2 linked regions of the Macaca fascicularis genome follow. The protein of the gene in region 2 purifies or fractionates together with the protein of the main gene of each other region. This does not show direct contact. Links are inferred from orthologs where the notes say so. Each region holds a gene or a part of one and is shown on either strand. Other genes may lie near its edges.

Region 1 (10,487 bases), on a different chromosome or scaffold from region 2:
ATCTATCATTTTCAAAGTTATTTACATTTTAGCCTTTTTCATACTTATTGTCAAATTGCCCTTCCCCAAAGTTGTAAAGTTTACTCAAGAAGAACTCGCATTGCTCTTAGGCACAACTTTTACACACTTCATCTATAAATCAACATCTAAAAGAGTATTTCCGTGTGACCCATGCACACACAGTTCATTTGAGCATTCACAGGGTGTTCCCCACAGCCTGGTACCATTACAGCTTTTGTCATCACATGAACAGCAATTGGCTCAAAACACTACCCATTGTGATGCTGATGATGAGACCTCCCTAATGTTCTAAAAGATTGTTTGGTGTAACCACTTTAGCTCAGACCTTTCTCTTAACCTTGCCTATCATGTTTCGAGTCAAAATTTAAATACTGTACAGTTTAAGCTACAATATGCTTGGCCTATAACTTGGTTCCAGGCGTTTATATTTATGTCACTTTTGTCTACTTATTATACTAACAAGGTGGAAAAAGCAATCCCAGTCTCTCCAAAAGGTAAAACTCTCCTGTTTTTTGGATATTAGTAGAGTTTTAAAATTAGGCTAGATAAATTATAGTATCCTTAGGATTAAGCGCATAAAGGGAGTTTTATGAAATATTTTAAGAAGAACATGTTTAAAAATCCAAACTGAAATATAAAATGTAATTTCTTGAGAACTGGAGGCAAGAGACATTACAAAAATAAAATATTAAGTTGTTGTCTTAAGACATAATTTTAATTAATATAAATAGATGTATTTAGTCTTATTTAAATTGCATATTTTTTCATCACAAAAACAATGAACAGAGCATCTTCTTTCTCGTCTCGTAATCTTTTGCTTTAAATGCTTTAAATTCCAACTAATCTCAGTTGAAGCTTCTATTTATCAGGCTATTTCCTTAATGACTTTTTTTCTGATATGTGGCTTTAAGTGGTTGCCGTTAATGAAAAAATACAAAGACTACAGATGTGAAATGTTTGAGAGGACAATAATTACAATAGTTTTAAGTTTTCACTGATACAGATTCTAACAGGGGTGGACAATCAATGACTACCAGTCACTTTAATTAAATAATCTTACCCTAGAGAAGAGTGTGCTCCCGTATAAAACTTTATTTTTCATGTTTATTCTTGTTCTTTTTCCTGTGGCCCAAGATCACTTGGCAATTTGATACTGATTTAGCAGAAATAAATATTCTATGAATATTTTTCTACTCGAAGTGAATACAGTTTTGTTGGCTGTGATACTCTATACCTCTTAATTTCGAGCTCTCTCTGACATTTCAGTTGTTTGCCAAACAACTGAATTTAGATTTGCCAAACAACTGAATTTAGATATTCCTTTTGCCGTGTCGTTGTGTGAACATTGCCCTAGTGATAGCTTCATATTTCCCTCATCTCATCATTCAGAAGCTATTTATCTATTTTTTTCCACTGCCTCCTTCAAACCCCCTCCCCCATCACTGAATGCCTGTTCAGCCCCCGCATATTCATCCGTATTTATTCCCGTAAAGATAGTGACACTTATGGTTTATTCTAAGACTAAATCTGTGTTGCCCAGTGACTAAGGACTTAAGCATGCACACTGCTTCTATGCTTACCCTCCTACCTAACTTGAGCACTCAACATTTTTATTTCATTCCCTCAGAATCCCCTGTTTTGGCACAGTTCACTTAACACACCACTGCCAGGCCACTAATTGATTTCTGAAACCTGACATTTGTTTTTTGTTTTCTCCCATCTTCCCTAATGGTACAGCACTACTAAGCGGGAAGGAATGCAAAGAACTAGAAAGTTCAAAGTAATTGAGGATCTGTCCATTCACTCTGTCTGGCTTCATGCCAATGTAGAACCTGGAACATTTGAAAAATATTTATCAAGTTTTAACCCTTTTTACTAAGTCGATGAAACAGGTTTGCAGCTGTAGCATTTATGTTAAAAGTAACAGCAGGGAAGCTTGGTTGAACATGTTCTTTATATGCTCAGAATCACATGGCAAATGTCTCCGAAAAGGATTACTTTCCAATTTCCGTACTATTGTACAGTGCTAAGCTAGTTATTTTCTGTGAGATTGCAGAGCAGGGCATTTCAGAGAAACTATTACTTAAAAGTGGCAGCCCTATTTCATGAATCTTTATGCCTGAAATGAAATTTTAAAAGGTGCTACTGTATTGGAGCAAAAAGGAATATATTCAGTTACTATAAGAACCCCAACGCTAGCTTCATATCTATATTCATTATGAAAAGTGGAAATATGAAACAACAAGACTAAAAATATTAAAAACAATATTAGTTGTGTGTGTTTTTTTCTTTTTTTGCAATGAAAAAGCTTTTGTAAATGAAAGCATGTTAAAAAGTGGTGTGAAATTATGGAAGCATTTCCAGTAAAATACAGGGATTTTATTGCAGTGAAAACTTAGATTGAAATACCAGGCCACTGAAGCTCTCGTAAAAAGAAAGACAAAAGGAAAGGTCTAGATAGGTTTAAAAGCACATTAAGATACAGCTACCAAATGTATTAAATCTAAGTTAGATTTAGCTTAAAGTTACAAGAGCACAAAAGTTCTATTAAGAATTATCTACATCACATTTAGGTTTGATGTTATCAGAATTAAGTAACTAACAATCTTTCAGAGCTCAATTTTTTAAAAGAGTTACATTAAATCCCATCCTAATTCTATAATCTGTTTCTAAGCTAATTAATTACATGATCGGTTTGATATTAGAGAAAAGCAAGACAGCTTTTTAAAGATGAAGGTGGACAGCATGGGGCTGTTTGGTTAGAGAAAAACTTGCAAAAGCACTTATTAAATAATACTTTGGTAACATGAAAGTAGTCATCAGTCATTCTCTGAAGGCAGTGGTCACAGTTAGTAGAAATGAATCATGTATCAACAGGAAGAGAAGGAAAAGGAGAAAAACCTAGTTTACAGCATAATTTTATATGTTCTAATAATAAATACATTTCTTTATGTGCTTATTAATTTTCTACCCATTGAAAATGAGATCCATACCTTTGATAGATATGCTCTTTGAAGTGAACGTTTTTTTCAAATACTTTTTTTTTTAAAGCTGTTTTACTCTGAAGCGATGAGTAGGCTGTCGTATATGTAAAACTGTCTAATGGTATACTGTGCTGTCAACATATGTACATTTGTAGTAATATCACAAGCATTTTTATTGCAGTTTATTGTTCCGTCCTCCCAATAAGCCAGATAAAATCATGTACAAGAACATTAAGGATTAAGGGAAGTGGTTTCCTTAGGTGATTCCTGGCAAAAATTCACCCTCCCATTATAACAACATAGTAAATGGACGGTAATATATTTGGCTATTACCTTCCAACAAATTTGGATTCCCAGTTTTCAGTGTCTATGTGTCTATGTTTGTGGCTTTCTGGTTGTCTCTTCGTAGGAAAAGGTGCCACAATGTGAGGTAAATGTGCTAGGTTTCTGTTTTGTAAATATTAAAGTCCATTTTTTTAACATACAGTGCTAGCAAAAATAAGTCAAAGATGTAATGTCTATTTAAGTACACATTTGAGCCAGTCGTGCTTAAATTAGATTCCATGCTTCGGCTAGAATCAACATGGCTTAAATATTAGAAACTTCAAAATTCATGTGGCCCAAGCCCTCCTCCCCACACACGGATAGGAGGTACAAATGTGTGGGAAAACGTCTAGCAATTAAAATCCTGAAGGAGTGGGAAAAACTCAGGCTTTTATGCGAGGATTTGAAAATAACGCTTCCCATCAAATCTTTTATTCAGGCATTCTGAATTTGCCTTGTTAAATGGATACAGTCACTGCTAAAGATACATGAGACAAGAGCTGTTTTAAATTTGTTTATCACACCGCCCCTAGTTTTCTGCTAAAGAGAAGTATATTTCGGATATTTAAAAGTACACACTCATTAGACAAATCTCTAAAAGCCTCAGCGCCCCCACCTAGCTGCCTTCTGGGTTTCAGCTTTTGAGTTTCAGGTCCTTGCACAACACCTAAGACGTGCAATACTCTTTTTCTTCCTAATCCTGGCAGAGAACAGTGCGAAGAGCTCTCCCTCCGCGTCTCCACCCTAATTCCCCCTCTTCCCAGATTCCACCCGCTCCGCTACTTCCCTCCGCCCCCAGCTCCGCCAGCCCAATCTGTCAGAGAAGTTGTGTACAAACTGCGCGGCCGCCCTGCGCGCGAAGCTCGTGGCCCGAGAGGGGTGCGGTCGGGCCGGCGGAGGCGGGGCCCTGGCTGCCTCTCTCCCTGCTCATAGGCTGGCCGCTCAGGCCCGGCCGGCCTTGAGGCCTCGGGATTCGCGGCGGCGCTGCCAATCAGGCGAGCGGGCCCCGCCCCCCCGGAGTTGGGTGAAATAGAGGCGGGCGTCAAGTGTCAGTAGTCGTGGGGCAGGTACGCGCGCTCGCAGTTCTCTCGCTGAGGTCGGCGGTGGCGGGAGCGGGCTCTGGAGAGCCTGAGAGCGCAGTGGGGCGGGGCGGGAGAAAGTGGCCGCCCGTAGGACGTTGGCGTTTACGTGTGGAAGAGCGGAAGAGTTTTGCTTTTCGTGCGCGCCTTCGAAAACTGCCTGCCGCTGTCTGAGGGGTCCACCCGAAACCTCTCCCCTCCTCCGACCGCAGCCCCGCACCGAGCTCGCCGCCCCAAGCCAGGGTGGGCGAGGTGGGAAGTGCGCCCGACCCGCGCCCGGAGCCGCGCTCCCGAGTGCCCATGGCTACGCGGGTGCTGAGCATGAGCGCCCGCCTGGGACCCGTGCCCCAGCCGCCGGCGCCGCAGGACGAGCCCGTGTTCGCGCAGCTCAAGCCCGTGCTGGGCGCCGCAAATCCGGCCCGCGACGCGGCGCTCTTCCCTGGCGAGGAGCTGAAGCACGCGCACCACCGCTCGCAGGCGCAGCCCGCGCCCGCGCAGGCCCCGCAGCCGGCCCAGCCGCCCGCTGCCGGCCCGCGGCTGCCTCCCGAGGAGCTAGTCCAGGTAGGAAGAGCCGCTCCCCTCCCACCACTGCACTCCCGGGCCCGGGCGTGTCCCGTCGCTGCGACGCGCGGGCGACAGGGGCCGCTCCAGGCTGGGGCGTGCGTCGGGGCGCACCGGAGCCGGTGCTGGGTGGGCAGCCCCGCCCTGCACGCCTGGCCGGGGACCCGCGTTTCGCTGAGAGTAAATGAGGGGTCGGGAGGGGGGAAGGATAGAGGGGAATCTGCCCCGGCGGCTTGGCCTGGGAGAGATCAGAGGGAGGGAACTGGGTGCTCACACGCACCTTAGTTGTTTTTCTTACACTTGAGGGACGAAACCTTGTACCTTACGCTCAGTTTTACTTAAATTACGTCTTCACCTTTACCGCTCCCCAGTGCCAAGGCATTGGAGCTCCCCCATCCCCATCGTCTCGGGTTAAGTAGAAACGCAAATTGGGGTGCTGGGGAGAGGTTGCTCAAGATTTCATAGCCGGTGGCTCAACCTGCTTTAGAAGCGATCGCGGGCCGCGTTTGGAAAATGAGAGTTAGGAAAGCTAAGGTTGTGTTGGAGCGCTTATTTTTCCTTAAAAAAAAAAAAAAGACCGGGGGTGTTGTTTTCTTCGTGTGCGCGTAAATTTCCTCCCGGAGCCGCGTTGAAAGCTGGCAGTTGGCTTTTACACTTGCCCAGCAGCCGAATTAGAGCAACCGCCTGTTTCTTTCGCCCACGCAGGGAGTCATATAGCCCAGAAAAAAACTTCCCGGGACTTTTAGCCTGTCCCAAGGAAAAAAAAATTGGAAACATACCCACATGCAAACAGCTGGAAGAGCTAAAATCAGAAACCACTAACCGCCGCGGGAGCGCAGTGCACGAAAGGGTTTAGTTCAGTTTATTTCAAGACACTTCATTTAGTAGCCCTTTGGCGTATCGCATATTTGCTACCCAGCGCCTACTCCGTGGGGTCTGTCAGGGTCCTGCTGTGAGAGGGCAGTGGCATTTGTCAGAGATGTGACTCACATGACGTGAGCGTTAATTTTTATTTTTAAATCGTGTCTATCCGGGAAACCCCGTCCGGATCCACACCAAGGTCCGAGATGAAACGCATTTGAAATGAAGTAGTAGCAGAAAATGACTGTCTTATTTACCGATTAAGGTGCCAAGCTAATACTATGCGCCATTCCATCTAGTTGGTTATCTTATCTTTCGAAATTTCCTTTTTCAGTGTTAAAAAATGTAGGCTTAAGTTATACTAGGAGAGAAGATAGCTGGAAAAAGCTTGAGGCGACTTGTTACAAGCTGATTTAAAAGCCTAGAAAAGAGATCATCGTTTGAAAAGTATTTGGTTATTTCAGTTTGTCAATTTTCTGCTCTGGAGGCACAAGAAGATAAGGGATGACTGAGCTTTTTACAGAGTCGGGGGGAATGTAGCATTGGCCCACTGAGGAGGACATGATAAATGTTTTGCTGATGACTGTGCTAGGGATACAGCAGCCTCCCCACCCACGGGCTCCTTAGCAGCACTCTAGCGAGGGAGTGATTTTCCCCTAGGTAATTAAAGATCTGTTTTAGATAGGGGTATGAATAGGAACATTTCATTATCATATTAACCAATTACAGGATCTGCTGATTAAAATCAACCTTTAGGTCAAATATTGAATGTGAAATTGTTTTGTTTCAGTGGATACAAGGTTTTGCTTAGAACATTGTATTTCTCATTGAACTGTAAACAAGAAAAGACACAGAAGTAGCCAAAGAATATTTTTTATATTACTTTTGAAGTGTCTAGCCAAATAAACCTTTGCAATATTTTAAAGGTTTGCATAGTTTTTTCTGTAAAAAAACAAAACAAAACAAAAAACACGCTTTTTAATGTTTATGACTTAAACAGAATTGAGGTAGTTTGGCAACATTTCAATAGTGTACTCTAATTGCAAATTTAACTGTGTAATGGGGCAGGGAATCCTGCTTGTACAGGGGTGATACCTTGTTATTGCATCAGAAAGGAATGTTTTCAGTTTGCTTTCTTTTTTTTTCTTGATTTGCGTCTTTCACTTTTGGGGGTGATTGGGGGAGCAGTTTTACCAGTTACACAGTTTCATAAGGTTTTGGTCAACCAATTATTACACAATCGACAAAATAAGCCTGATATGTTTATAAGCAACACTGAGGAGTTTGCCCGAGTACCTTATACAGGGATTGGGGTAATTTTTAGTAGGCGCCGATTGTTTGTCCTTCCCAAGATGGTGAATCAGGTGGATTATGCATGTTTGTATCTCTTCTTTTTTAGACAAGATGTGAAATGGAGAAGTATCTGACACCTCAGCTTCCTCCAGTTCCTATAATTCCAGAGCATAAAAAGTATAGACGAGACAGTGCCTCAGTCGTAGACCAGTTCTTCACTGACACTGAAGGGTTACCTTACAGTATCAACATGAACGTCTTCCTCCCTGACATCACTCACCTGAGAACTGGCCTCTACAAATCCCAGAGACCGTGCGTAACACACATCAAGACAGAACCTGTTGCCATTTTCAGCCACCAGAGTGAAACGACTGCCCCTCCTCCGGCCCCGACCCAGGCCCTCCCTGAGTTCACCAGTATATTCAGCTCACACCAGACCGCAGCTCCAGAGGTGAACAATATTTTCATCAAACAAGAACTTCCTACACCAGATCTTCATCTTTCTGTCCCTCCCCAGCAGGGCCACCTGTACCAGCTACTGAATACACCGGATCTAGATATGCCCAGTTCTACAAACCAGACAGCAGCAATGGACACTCTTAATGTTTCTATGTCAGCTGCCATGGCAGGCCTTAACACACACACCTCTGCTGTTCCGCAGACTGCAGTGAAACAATTCCAGGGCATGCCCCCTTGCACATACACAATGCCAAGTCAGTTTCTTCCACAACAGGCCACTTATTTTCCCCCGTCACCACCAAGCTCAGAGCCTGGAAGTCCAGATAGACAAGCAGAGATGCTCCAGAATTTAACCCCACCTCCATCCTATGCTGCTACAATTGCTTCTAAACTGGCAATTCACAATCCAAATTTACCCACCACCCTGCCAGTTAACTCACAAAACATCCAACCTGTCAGATACAATAGAAGGAGTAATCCCGATTTGGAGAAACGACGCATCCACTACTGCGATTACCCTGGTATGTGCTCTTACCTGGTTGAAGCATCAATAGGTTGTGTGTGTGTGTGTGTGACTTTAAAATGGCAATTGAATAAATTGCAGTTTTTAATTCTAAATTAAGTGCCCCAGAAAGAGATTAAAGTAGGGTAGGGGAAAATAAGGTTTGGTAGTGAAGTGGAGGTTGTAGGCAGCTAGCGTGATGGTAGGTACAAGACTGTCTACAGGATAGATTTAAGAATGGTTTTGATGGCATGTGAGCATATGCTCAGTTTTGAATGAGATACGTGGCCCAAAGTGTAAATTGAAGACAATACATGGAATAGATCTACAAGTTACTGGGAAAGCTAGTTTATGATTAATACATGACAAAATTTATTGACTTTGATACATGATATGGCATGACGTGCTAAATGAAAAAACAAATGTGGGAGTACAGAAAATTACAGTCATCTTGGATAATGGCTTAGCATTGTCAGCTCTAGAGCCATTAAAATTTTCCAAAAAACATATAGTAACTCTTAAATTACGGAAGTACAGCACCTACTGGAATATAAACACAAATTTTCCATTTGTAGTTTGGCTTGATTATCTGCATTCTTTCCTGTTAAAGTGATACATAAAACAAATCACTTTATGCCTTTAACAGGGTAATGGGGGAGGACTCTTTAAAAAACTTTTAAATCTGAAGCTTCAAATAATCTCATCTAGCATGAGAGATTTCTTCTTTAAAGCCAGATTTTAAACACTGAATCATCAAATGTAAAGATTTCAAAAGGATCTCCAAAATGACATGCTGTTCTCCTTTATTTTAGGTTGCACAAAAGTTTATACAAAGTCTTCTCATTTAAAAGCTCACCTGAGGACTCACACTGGTATGTAATTTTCTTGTTAATTCTGTGAGTTGTGTAAATAGTGTAAGTGGTATTCATCCTTTTAAAAGCTAACACGTGTTTGATCTCTTCTTCTGTCAACTTTTTTTTTTTTTTTTTTTTTTTTAAATAAATAGCCTACCTTTTCAGCACGGGCTTGGCTCAGAATTCAGTTCCATGAGAAATCTGGTTCCAGGAAGGCCGGTGATGTTCCCTCACTAAGGCCTTCTTGCCCTGTCACCGCTCATAGAATTGATTACCCAAAAACGTAAACAACGATGTTTACTAATGGATTTTAAAACTTGTAATGGCAGTGTTTTGAAGAAAAAAAAAAAACTCATTTTCTTCCATAACACATAATTTTGCTCTGAGAAAGCCATTTTAAACTCATGTACAGCATAATTGGTGAAAACATTATCTTTAGTTTCACCTATAGGTTAAAATATCTGTGTTTAGTATGTTTTCTGTGCTTGATGAAAGGTAGGGCTGAAATTGCAGTGTTAAAATCAGGTGGTCAGAAATGGGTTAGAAGCCCCAGCCCAAACTTGGTATGTATGAGACACTTCATCTTTATTCTAGCTTACATTTCATTGTTGTTTACTTGTGCTTTTAAATTTAGCCACTCTACTTTTGTATTTGCAGTCACTTTTTTTTTGACACTGAGTGTTGCTCTGTCGCCAGGCTGTAGTGCAGTGTTGTGATCTCAGCTCACTGCAACCCCTGCCTCCCACGTTCAAGCGATTCTCCTGCCTCAGCCTCCTGAGTAGCTGGGATTACAGGCCCCCACCACCACGCCCAGCTGATTTTTGTATTTCTAGTAGAGATGGGGTTTCACCATGTTGGCCAGGCTGGTCTCAAACTCCTGACCTCTGCCTTGGCCTCCCAAAGTGCTGGAATTACAGGCGGAAGCCACTGCGCCCAATCAGCACTTTTAAGAACTTTTACATTTTAAAATTATATCAGAAGCCATTTTAAGATGAAACCAGGTGGCATACTTTAAAGGCCCCCAAATACTCCAAATATTTTCAAATATATAGATGGTTACTAATTGCGATTTTCTTGAAAGAGCAGCCCTAAAGGAAAGAACTTACATAAAGTGATTGTTTTTTTCCCTCAATAAATACAGCCTTACCTAAAGTTCAAAGAATAAGTTTGCTAATAAAAGCAATGACCTAGCAAAATGTATTATTCCATCATTGCTATGGAAACCAAAGTATTCAACAGTTCCTTTGAATGGGTTGTTGGATTAGTGTGAGGACTTGAATCTCCCCAGGCTAGATGTTACTATGGAAATTGAGTTTTGATAAATGAAGTAGTTATCTCTAACTGCTGCATTAAAAAGTAAAAGCCTTTGAACAAAGGTCAGTGCTGAGATAGAGCCCTAAGAGGAATATGGTTGCAGACATTTTGTATGCATGTTAGGAAGCATTGCTTGATATCCCAGTGATAAACACTACTTATTAAAATCTGATGACAGTGTAGTAGATTCCAGGGCTTTCTGAGAAACTGCTTTTAAGGAAAAGACATCTTTTGT
Region 2 (10,446 bases):
TCCTGGCAAAACTCCCTGCCCCCACAGCCCCTCTCACCCTCTCCCCCCATACACACATGCACTCATACACACTTCTGCCAGCCTTGTTTCTGCCAGCAGCTGCTGAAGTTGTTGAGCAGGAGGGAAATTGGGAGGGTGGGGTGCAGGGATTGAGTTACCAGAGCTGATGGGGTGGGCTGTCACCCAATCCCTTCCCCAGCTAGTCTCCACCCCCACCCCACCCCTCTACCCACAGTCTCCCTCACCCACCTGCCTCCCTCCCCACCTCTGGCTGGCAGCCTACTGCCCTTTAAGCCCCTCCACCTAAGCTAGAAAATAAATGTTCAAGAGTATTTGTCATGCTAAGACCAGCCCAGTATATGAGAGAGAGAGAATGAGACAGAGACGAACAGAAAGAGTAATTCCTGTGCTCAGTGCTCTGGCTACAACCACTAAATATGTGTATGTTGAGCCAGAAGGGGGCTGAGCAACTCCACAAGTCCCAGAAGAGTTGGTGGGGCCCAAGGGGAGTTGACAGGCTAAACAGCCTCAATCCATTTGCACTATTGATTTCTCACACACCACAGTAGGCCTGATGGGGGGCATGATAAATCAGCCCCCCAGAGACACAGAAACTGAGTGGAGAGAAGGGGAGGGGCTCCTACAATACAAATGGTGGTGCACCATGACCTGCTTGGTGCATTGGGGGTGGGCAGCAGAGGAATAGGAGATGTTGAGTGGCATGAGGCAGGGTAGGGGAGAGGGAGAGGGTGTAATGCCTGTCTGGAACACCTCCTTCCAGCTGGGTCTGAACTAATTTGAAGGAAGAACGTGGGGGACAGATGCACCATGTGTGGCTACACAGGCAGGGCCTTGAACAACCCCAGGGGGTGCCATTCGCATCATAATCTATGGAATGGTTCCCCCTGCAGCTGTGCAACATGGTGGCCCTTGGGGAGAGCCTAAGGCAGAAGACAGAAAGCAGACTGAATTCTGAGGGACCACAATTCTCCACTACGTTTTCTCCCTATATACACCCCAACTTGCCCCAACTTTCCCTGCCTCCAGGCCTCAGAGGGGGCCCCCTTCTGACTAGTGATCAGAAGCCAGTAGTAATCTTCCCACTCCTCAACCCTGCTCCCTTTTTTTGCTGGGGAGATTGGCAAACAGCCACCATGACCCACAGGTCCTGGGCAGGGTAGGAAGAGGGCTCACAAAGGGCTCTAGGAAGTCTGGACGTCCCTTCTGTAAGGTGTCTCCTAGCCCCACAGCTCACCAGCCTGTGAGCCTGCTGGAGCCTGTCCAGTATCTCCATTCACACCAGTGGCCACAGGCCACCCAAACAAACCCAACTCTGACCTCCTTCCAGCCTGGACACAGACTCTCTCCACATGGAGACTTATAAACAAACCAAGCTGGGATTTACAGAGACCCTGCACAAACAAGCAGAGGGGAAAATGGACCAGGTGTGCCTGGCTCATGGTCCTCCTTGCTGCAGTAGGGGAAGGAAGCACACTGAGGTGTAGTGAGGAACCATGACAACAGAAAAATGGTGCAAAGGGAGGGCCTAGGTTCAGGTCTCAACACAGCCAGTGACTGATTGAGTGTCCTCTCTAGGCCTCAGTTTCCTTCTCTGAAAGGGGAAGGGATTGCCTAGGTAGCCCCTAAAACCTCTTCCAGCTCTGAGTCCAGTTGGATAAAGAAAGCCCTGAAGGGTGCCAGGACTCTTCCACCCACTCCAGCCCAGCCCGGCCCATCTACCTGGGTCAGGTCCCTCTGGGTAAGGTCTTGCCCCTGCTCCCCATGCCTCCTTGTTCTGTCTTCTGCCCCTCTGGCCCTTCCTCACACCTCTGCCTGCCTGCTTACCCTCACCTTGGCAAGCCCCTCTGCCTGCCCCGTGCTGCTCTGCACGTCCCTCCTGCCAGGGGACTGACCAACTAAAAATAGTCCCTGCAGCCTTTCTCGCCCACAGCTGCCCAAAGAGCAGGAAACGAGGGGGGCAGGGAGGCCCATGCCCTGCCTTCCCCCAACTAACTCCCAGGTCAGAATCTTGTCCAGCACTCCAGCCTGGGGCTAGTGCCAACTTGGCCATCCTGGGGGCATCCCACACCCCTTCCCTAGGGGGAGGCCTGCCCATAAGTGCCTGCAATCACAGAGCTGCCCCTACCCTGTGGGAGGAGGAGAAAGGAGGCAAGCGGTCTAGAGGGAAACCTTCCCAATTTCTGACAAATCAGTGCCAACCACATTGTGGGCACCCAGAGGGCAGGGCCTGGCTCCACTGACTGGTCTTTTGAGGGCAGGAAGAATTGGCGTGGGGAAGTTTGTGACAGTTTCCTTCATCCTGGCCCAAATGGAGGGAAGACAAAATAGTGCCCCAGCCTCAATTATGTTAGTCCCTTGCTCCCCAAAACCAGGGATTTCGATAGCCACCCCCAGATATCATGGGGAACACAAGCTAAAAAATGAGAGCAGGAGATGTAGGCTTCTGTAAAGACAGAAGCCTGGAGGCAAGAATGGGCCATGCCTGCCAGGCTGGGCATGTGCTGCCCTCAAGCTGAGTCAGAGGCTAGGAGGGAGAAGCTGGGGTGCTACAGTGCCAGAGGCTACTGTGCCCCCACCCCTGTCCCACCTGGGATTTCTGACACCTCCCAGCCCTAGGGGAAGGCCCTCCCCACACAGAAGGAAGGAAACCAGCTAAGCGACTCTCTGGAGCCCTGCAGGGGAGCCCTGCACCACAGGCGGGTGGGAAACCCAGGAGTCCTGGCGCCCAGCCCAGAGAGAGTGAAATACCTTGGAGGGGAGGAAACAGCCCAGATTGAGGCAGACATGTGGCACCCCAGAAGCTCCCAGATGTGACCCACAAGGAGGTACTGGCCAAAGGGTCTAGAGGAGGCAAAGTGAACACATTTCTGAACAAGAAGAGAGAAGAAAGTGGGGCTATGGGAATGGGGTGGCGGGGGTCAGCCTGGCTCATCGCTGTCCTTTCCTCCTTGTCAGAGTCAGAGACACTGACATTAAGGTCATCAAATATCAACCAGGTCCTCAGGACCTTGGTGTGTTTCCTCCTCTCCTAGTCTCCAGACCTCAGCCTGTTCATTCCTGAGCTTCCTCTGGCACCCCTTCCTTGGGGCCAAGCCAAGTAAGAAATCAGCAGGCCCAAGGTGGTGCTCGGGAGGCCGGGGCAGTGCCAGGGGCAGTCCTCATACCATCCTCCCACTGGCTTCCCTCCCGCCTGCTCTTAGCCGCCACACATATCTCAGCTGTCGAATCCGATTAGGGCTCCTGCCCAGTGAGCCGGACAAGGAGGCCACTGGGCAGGGGAGAGAGAGACAAGGACGCCAAGCAGGGATGGCAGAAGGAAGGTGGAGACATGGCTCAGGGGAGCAAGTATGGGGCCCCAGAGGAAGAAATGCCTGGTGGAGAGATCTGTACTCTGTGACCACAGGTGCTCTGGCAACAGCTACAACCTGCATTAGGGGAATTCTGCAGTACCCAGGGCAATAGCCCTGCCTGGTTCCTCCATCCCCCAGATGGGCAAAGGATGGGGGAAGAAAACTGAAGGCAGAGAGATTGACCTAGATTTAGGAAGAGGATTCCATCCTAGATCCCCCCAGCCATTACTACCGTTTGCAGTGAGCTTTATGATACATTCTCTGTATGGTCTTGGTGGCAATGTCCCTGCTTGCTACTGATAGCCATTTTTACAAATGAAGAAACTGAGGCTTAGCAAAGGGGAAGACATATATAAACACACATAGTTAAGTAACCAGGCTAAGTCTCCAGTTCAGTCCTCTGATTCCCAGTCCACTGCTCGCAGTCAGAATCTCTACTTTCCTTCTTGGATCAAGACCAGAGGGAAGTCTGAAGCCACTCCATTATCCACCGTGTCCTCCAAAACCAACCTTTAGGGGACCCAGGGAGTCATGGAAGAATGCAGAGCACACCCCACACCTAGACAGAGCTACCAGATGGGGACATGCCACCCACTCCTACCACACACTGAGAGCTAGAGGAGTTCCCTCAGTGTGACCAGTCTCTTCTATCACCCCCTCCCCAGTCTACTACCCCCAGAAGCAAGATACACACTCACACATGGTAACTCATACAAGATGTACACCCTTCCTGTAAACCCACCAAACCAGAATGACATGCCCTAGATCTTCAGAGAGCAGGGCCTGTCTGCCCACCACAGGAGAGAAAAATAAGCCACTGTAAACAGTAGGTGCCATCTAGCCCTCTCCCAGAGAGCCTGTAGTGGGGCAGAAGCTTGGGGACCTCGTAGCTCTAGAGAAACACCAGGAGCCTGGGATTCTGAAAGCCAAGGAGCTCAGGAAGCTGGCAAGGCTGGGTGACCTCCTCAATCTGGTCTACACTCCCTTCCCTAGCCATCTGGACTGAGCCTGTTCTGGCCTGGGCCACACTCTGGTATCCCTCCCCTTCAATGCATGCAGCCACCTCTATCCAAAGCTTCTAGCTCTTACAACCACATTGTCTCTACACACACACACACACACACACACACACACACACACACACACACGGGTGGGGTGGGGGCTTCTGCAGCAGGTGTTGAGATGTTGACAGCGATGGGGGCTCTAAGCTGAAAGAACTTTCCTAGAGGAAAAGGTCACCAAAATGCTCACAACCTCCACTACCCTCCAGCAAAGCCTTTAGCCACCCAAGTGTGAGATGAACCTGGAAGGGGACATTAGTTCCCCTACAAGGTGAGTAGGGAGTGGGGGCAAAGTCCTGAGTTCTTTGGGCGAGGAAGCAAGAAAGAAATCCCTCGGGGAAAGCTCAGGTCTCTCTCTGGCTCTCTCCTCTGTTACCCCAGCACTTGCCAATTCTCCAGTCTAGGTGAGGTGGGGGAAGGGGTATTAGGCAATACTGCAAAGGAGGGTGCAAGGGCGTGGGGCCTGGGCAGACCTTCCCCCTACTCCCCACTCTTAGCTAGAGACCGGGAACTGCCTCAGGAGGAGGGTGCAGGGGGCTCTGAGCTTTCAGACACCCCACTGTTCCCAGGCTCCCACCTCCCAGGACTACAGTGAGCGACGGGAGAGGAGGGATGGGGAAAGCCAGAACTGGCGAGAGGGAAACGGCTAGATCAGAAGCAGAGGCCAGGGTCAAAGGCGGCCAAAGAAGAATTGGGAAGGGGTGTGCATGGTCCTACCTGCTCAGGTGTGTGCTGGCAGGGGGGCGATGGGGTTCCCAGGAGAACCGGGGAAGCCCTCTCAGCTCGATTCAGGATTCCCCCCTGCTTCTGGGTTAGGCTGCTGCAAGAGGCACGGGTTCCCGTTGGGTCCTAAAGCCCACTCGTCAAGCAGAAGGCTCTCCCCGCCCTCTTCCACTGGGTCAGCCGGCGCAGAGCGGAGGACTGATTGGGAAGAAATAACCCACTGGAAGAAAGATGGGCGTCTGGTCGTCGGCTGGGGACAGGAACAGTTCCCTGTCTCAAATACACAGCATATGGACAACTTGAGGATAGGATGGCATGAAACAGGAGAAAGTAGACATTTCTTCCTGCCTGCCCTGAACAGATGGATTTAGGTTTTGGTGCTGGAGGTGGGGTTAAGATCTCTTTCCCTGCCACTCCTGCTAAGGCATTCGGCTAGAGGTTTTGGGAAGGGAGCATTCGTTTGGTTGGGCGCTCACTTTTGTCCTCTTCCTCATGGACTGCAGGAGTCCCTTCATCCCTCCCAGTTATTCCCAAGTGCCTAGGATGCCATCCAGGGGGAAAAGAAAACAGATTTTCAGCATGTAAAAAGTGCAGGCTCACTTAGATGGCAGCTGGAAACAGGGGGGAAAAGGTAGGACCAATGTATGTGTACCTGGGAATGTGTGGGGTCTGCAAATGTACATATATAGGCAAGAGTATAAACAGGTGGGGTTAGGGAAGGAGAAAAAAACAAAAAAGGACTTTGGGTTACATCTATTACTGGAAATGGTGACTGGCAGTGGAAGAACAGGATGCAGAATCTAGAGGTCAACTAGTGCCCCTACCCAGCCCTTAGTAATGTCCCGAATCTTTATGACCAGAATAAACAAGTTAAAGAGAGAATATTTTCCTAGATACCATTTAGGATAAATCTAGGGGCAGAGGGACTTCAATACAACAGATCAACTTCAAGGTCAGTGATTCGGTTTAGTATAGCCAGTCTTCTCAGTAGCTCAAAAGGGAGAATTCAGGTTTGGTGGGCTACATGGGCAAGAGAAAGGTGGATAAGAATTCTGAAGTTGTGGATTGAGAACATTTTGCAAGGAGAGTTGCACATATCTCTAGCAGCAGAGCAGGGAAAATGTCATCAGGGGAAGGGCCAGAGGAAGTCAGGGACAGACTTGAGGGGAGAGGGCATGGCCTTTGCCTAGAAGGGGAGAAGACACCAGCAATGCCTCCACCTCTTTCTGTCTTGCAGGAAGAACTGAGTAAAGGAGCTGGACTAAGGATGGAAGGCCCCAGGGTGGAGTCCATGGGGTGAGTTTAGGTCAAGCCTTTCACCCTAATGTGCCTCAGTTCTCTCCCAGCTGTTAAACAGGGCTCTTCGTTCTTCCCAGGCAGTTAATGAGTGTTTACAAAAGGGTTTGGAGATCCTCAGATCTCAGCTGGGCCACCACTACAGTTATAAAGTTCAATAAGAGCTGAGTGTTATTTGGGGAGGAGAGAAGTAGGGGAAGAAGAAAACAGACTACTCTCTTACAGACTAAGGATAAAACTAAGCTCAGAGAGAAGCACAAGCCTAGCTGCCACAGGATATCCTTGTGCCCATGGATGGAGGTCACCCCACCCCCCATCAACCACCACCAAAGGCCGGCCTCCAGCTAGCTGTAGGCAGAACTCAGACTAGCAGCTGGTCTTCATTAACTCCAGCTTTTTCACCCCCCACTGTGAACCCACAGCTTCTACAGGCCTAGGCTAGAGGGGGCTGCCCTAGCCCGACCTTGCAGCTGACACTGGGGTGGGGGGCACCGCACCAAAGGCCAAGTTACCAGCTGAAAAGAAAGTCGAAGCAAGAGTCCTTTTTCCCATTGGGAGCAAGAAGAAAGCAGTGTGGGGGTGAGAGGGTGGAGGTGGGGGAATTTAGGGCAAACAGCAGGCAGTGAAGTCAGCTGGATTGAGGCCCAGAAACCCCCACACCCTGGGGCCAAGTCTTACTCTAGCTTTGCTTTCAGCTTAAGTCTTGGCGAGGCCCCAAACTAGGGAAGGCCCTGGTTGCCCCTTTCCGCCTCCCTACCCCCACACTTATTAAATACACATTTTATCTCTCAGCATCTTCATTATCTTAACTGAAGGAGACAAGCAGTGGATGGCGGCAGCAGAGAGCGTCAGGAGAGGGGGGCGGTGCGGGGAGCAGGCGCACCCTTGTTATAAAGTGCTGATCTAGCTCTTTCAGGCAGTGTGGGAAACAGAGGAGGGATCAAAGGGAGTGAGGCTGATTCAGAACTCAATTAGAGCTTTTTAAAAAACGAAGCTGGCTCTCTCCTTTTGCCAGTCTTCAGCCTTTACCCAAGCCCCTTGCACCCAATTAACTTCCACTGCCAGTGCCTTGGGGTTGAAAATCAAGGGGAGGCCAGAGGGCACACCTTCTCCCCTTACAGAACACACTGCTTCCAAGAGGAAGACCTGCACTGTTTGTAGCTTAAGAGAAGGTATCTTAGAAAGTACCTTATCTTTTCAGGAGGAACCTGAGATCACAACTTTCCCCAAGTTAAAAAGTGGGATATCAGGCAGGGCACAGTGGCTCACGCCTGTAATCCCAGCACTTTGGGAGGCCAAGACGGGCGGATCACAAGGTCAGGAGATCGAGACCATCCTGGCTAACACGGTGAAACCCCGTCTCTACTAAAAATACAAAAAATTAGCCGGGCGTGGTGGCAGGCACCTGTAGTCCCAGCTACTCGGGAGGCTGAAGCAGGAGAATGGCGCGAACCCGGGAGGCGGAGCTTGCAGTGAGTCGAGATCGCACCAGTGTACTCCAGCCTGGGCCACAGAGCAAGACTCCGTCTCAAAAAAAAAAAAAAAAAAAAAAAGTGGGACATCAAAGATGGGCTTCTCCCTAAACCCTTGCCTAGAGACCCAACTTCTAGCCAATCTAGCCACACTGCGTAACATCCAGACAGGCAGCTCTCTTGCCAGCCTGTAGGTGAGACTCTTCCCCGCACAGCCAAAGCGTCCCACCAGCAACATGGAAGTTGCCTCAAGCAAAATGCCACTACATCAGAGGGAGTGATTGGAATGCATCTGTGAGGCTAATGCTCCAAAACTGTGCCAAGACACATTTTCTAAGACAGAGCACCCTTGTTATGCAGAGGCCTGCTCCACCTTTGTGCAAAAGTACCAACATTTACCTTCACCTTAGAACTGTTCTCAGGCCGGGCGCGGTGGCTCATGCCTGTAATCCCGGCACTTTGGGAGGCCGAGACGGGTGGATCACGAGGTCAGGAAATCGAGACCATCCTGGCTAACACGGTGAAACCCCGTCTCTACTAAAAAATACAAAAAACTAGCCGGGTGAGGTGGCGGGCGCCTGTAGTCCCAGCTACTCGGGAGGCTGAGGCAGGAGAATGGCGTGAACCCGGGAGGCGGAGCTTGCAGTGAGCTGAGATCCGGCCACAGCACTCCGCCTGGGCGACAGAGCGAGACTCCGTCTCAAAAAAAAAAAAAAAAAAAAAAAGAGCCGGGCGCGGTGGCTCAAGCCTGTAATCCCAGCACTTTGGGAGGCCGAGGCGGGCGGATCACAAGGTCAGGAGATCGAGACCACAGTGAAACCCCGTCTCTACTAAAAATACAAAAAAAATTAGCCGGGCGCGGTGGCGGGCGCCTGTAGTCCCAGCTACTCAGGAGGCTGAGGCAGGAGAATGGCGTGAACCCAGCAGGCGGAGCTTGCAGTGAGCCGAGATCGCTCCACTGCACTCCAGCCTGGGCAACAGCGTGAGACTCCGTCTCAAAAAAAAAAAAAAAAAAAAAAAAAAAAAAAAAAAAAGAACTGTTCTCAACATGGAGGAAAAGGCAGCATCTTATTTGGTTAATTTATCTGTTCAGCAACTATTGAGTACCTACCAGGTATTAGGCACTACGCTAATTGCTAGGGACAGATACAAATGTAAATGAAATTTCAATCTTGGCTCTCTTTTGTTCTCCCTCAGCAGTCAAGGTTAACACCTCTCAAGATATTTAAAAAATATATAACCAGCCAGGCATGGTGGCTCAAGCCTGTAATCCCAGCACTTTGGGAGGCCGAGGCGGGCGGATCACGAGGTCAGGAGATCGAGATCATCCTGGTTAACACAGTGAAGCCCCGTCTCTACTAAAAATACAGAAAAAATTAGCCGGGCGTGGTGGTGAGCACCTGTAGTCCCAGCTACTCAGGAGGCTGAGGCAGGAGAATGGCGTGAACCTGGGAGGTGGAGCTTTCAGTGAGCAGAGATCGCACCACTGCTCCAGCCTGGGTGACAGAGCGAGACTCAGTCTTACAAAAAAAAAAAAAAAAAAATATATATATATATATATATATATATAAAACCGAAGTCACAAAGTCACATCTTATTCCCAACTTCTCATTCTTATTGGTGTATCTGCTTTCTGTCTTTTACTTTTAGAGACAGGGTCTCACTCTGTCACCCAGGCTGTAATGCAGTGGTGTGATCACAGCCCATGCCGAGTTGAACTCCTGGGCTCAAAGCATCCTCCCACCTCAGCTTCCCGAGTAGCTAGGACTACAGGTGCATGCCACCATGCCCAGCTAATTTTTAAGATTTTTTTGGTAGAGAAGGGTAAGGGGGGGGTCTCACTATGTGGCCCAAGCTGGTCTCAAGCTCCTGACTTCAAGTAATCCTCCCGCTGCTGCCTCCTCCCAAAGTGTTGGCATTACAGGCATGAGCCACCACACCTGGCCTGATGTATATTCAAAGGGACACTTAGTAAAGATAGGGAGGAATGCAAACGGGGGGCTCAGAGAGAATAAGGCTCTGCCAACTTTTTGATCCCTGGGTAGATTGGACTTCACACATTATTTTTTGACAGTCTTACTCTGTCACCCAGTCTGGAGTACAGTGGCATGATCTCATCTCACTGCAATCTCCACCTCCCAGGCTCAAGCAATTCTCCTGCCTCAGTCTCCCGAGTAGCTGTGATTTTAGGTGTGTACCACGGTGCCAGGTTAATTTTTGTACTTCTAGTAAAGACAGGGTTTCGCCATGTTGGCCAGGCTGGTCTTGAACTCCTGACCCTCAAGTGATCCGCCTGCCTTGGCCCCACAAAGTGCTGGGATTACAGGCGTGAGCCACTGCACCCGGCATTTTTTTTTTTTTCTGAGACAGTCTCACTCTGTCGCCCAAGCTGGAGTGCAATGGTGCTATCTCGGCTCACTGCAACCTCTGCCTCCCGGGTTGTAGTCATTCTCCTGCCTCAGCCTTCCAGTAGCTGGAATGACAGGAACACGCCACCATGCCTGGCTACTTTATTTTAGTAGA

What was found.
Region 1: the proteins of RARA (region 2) and KLF5 purify together in Homo sapiens (affinity purification with western blotting; 4 studies listed by BioGRID). This does not show direct contact. The link is inferred for Macaca fascicularis from reciprocal best matches to the Homo sapiens genes RARA and KLF5.

What each region holds. Positions count from the first base shown.
Region 1 is NC_088391.1:64,022,682-64,033,168, forward strand, and holds the start of KLF5 (Krueppel-like factor 5), read left to right. Parts: upstream 1-4,383; 5' UTR 4,384-4,708; coding exon 4,709-4,969; intron 4,970-7,229; coding exon 7,230-8,103; intron 8,104-8,896; coding exon 8,897-8,956; intron 8,957-10,487. UniProt on the Homo sapiens protein: Transcription factor that binds to GC box promoter elements. Activates the transcription of these genes.
Region 2 is NC_088390.1:61,391,532-61,401,977, reverse strand, and holds the start of RARA (retinoic acid receptor alpha), read right to left. Parts: upstream 5,257-10,446; 5' UTR 5,150-5,256; intron 1-5,149. UniProt on the Homo sapiens protein: Receptor for retinoic acid. Retinoic acid receptors bind as heterodimers to their target response elements in response to their ligands, all-trans or 9-cis retinoic acid, and regulate gene expression in various biological processes.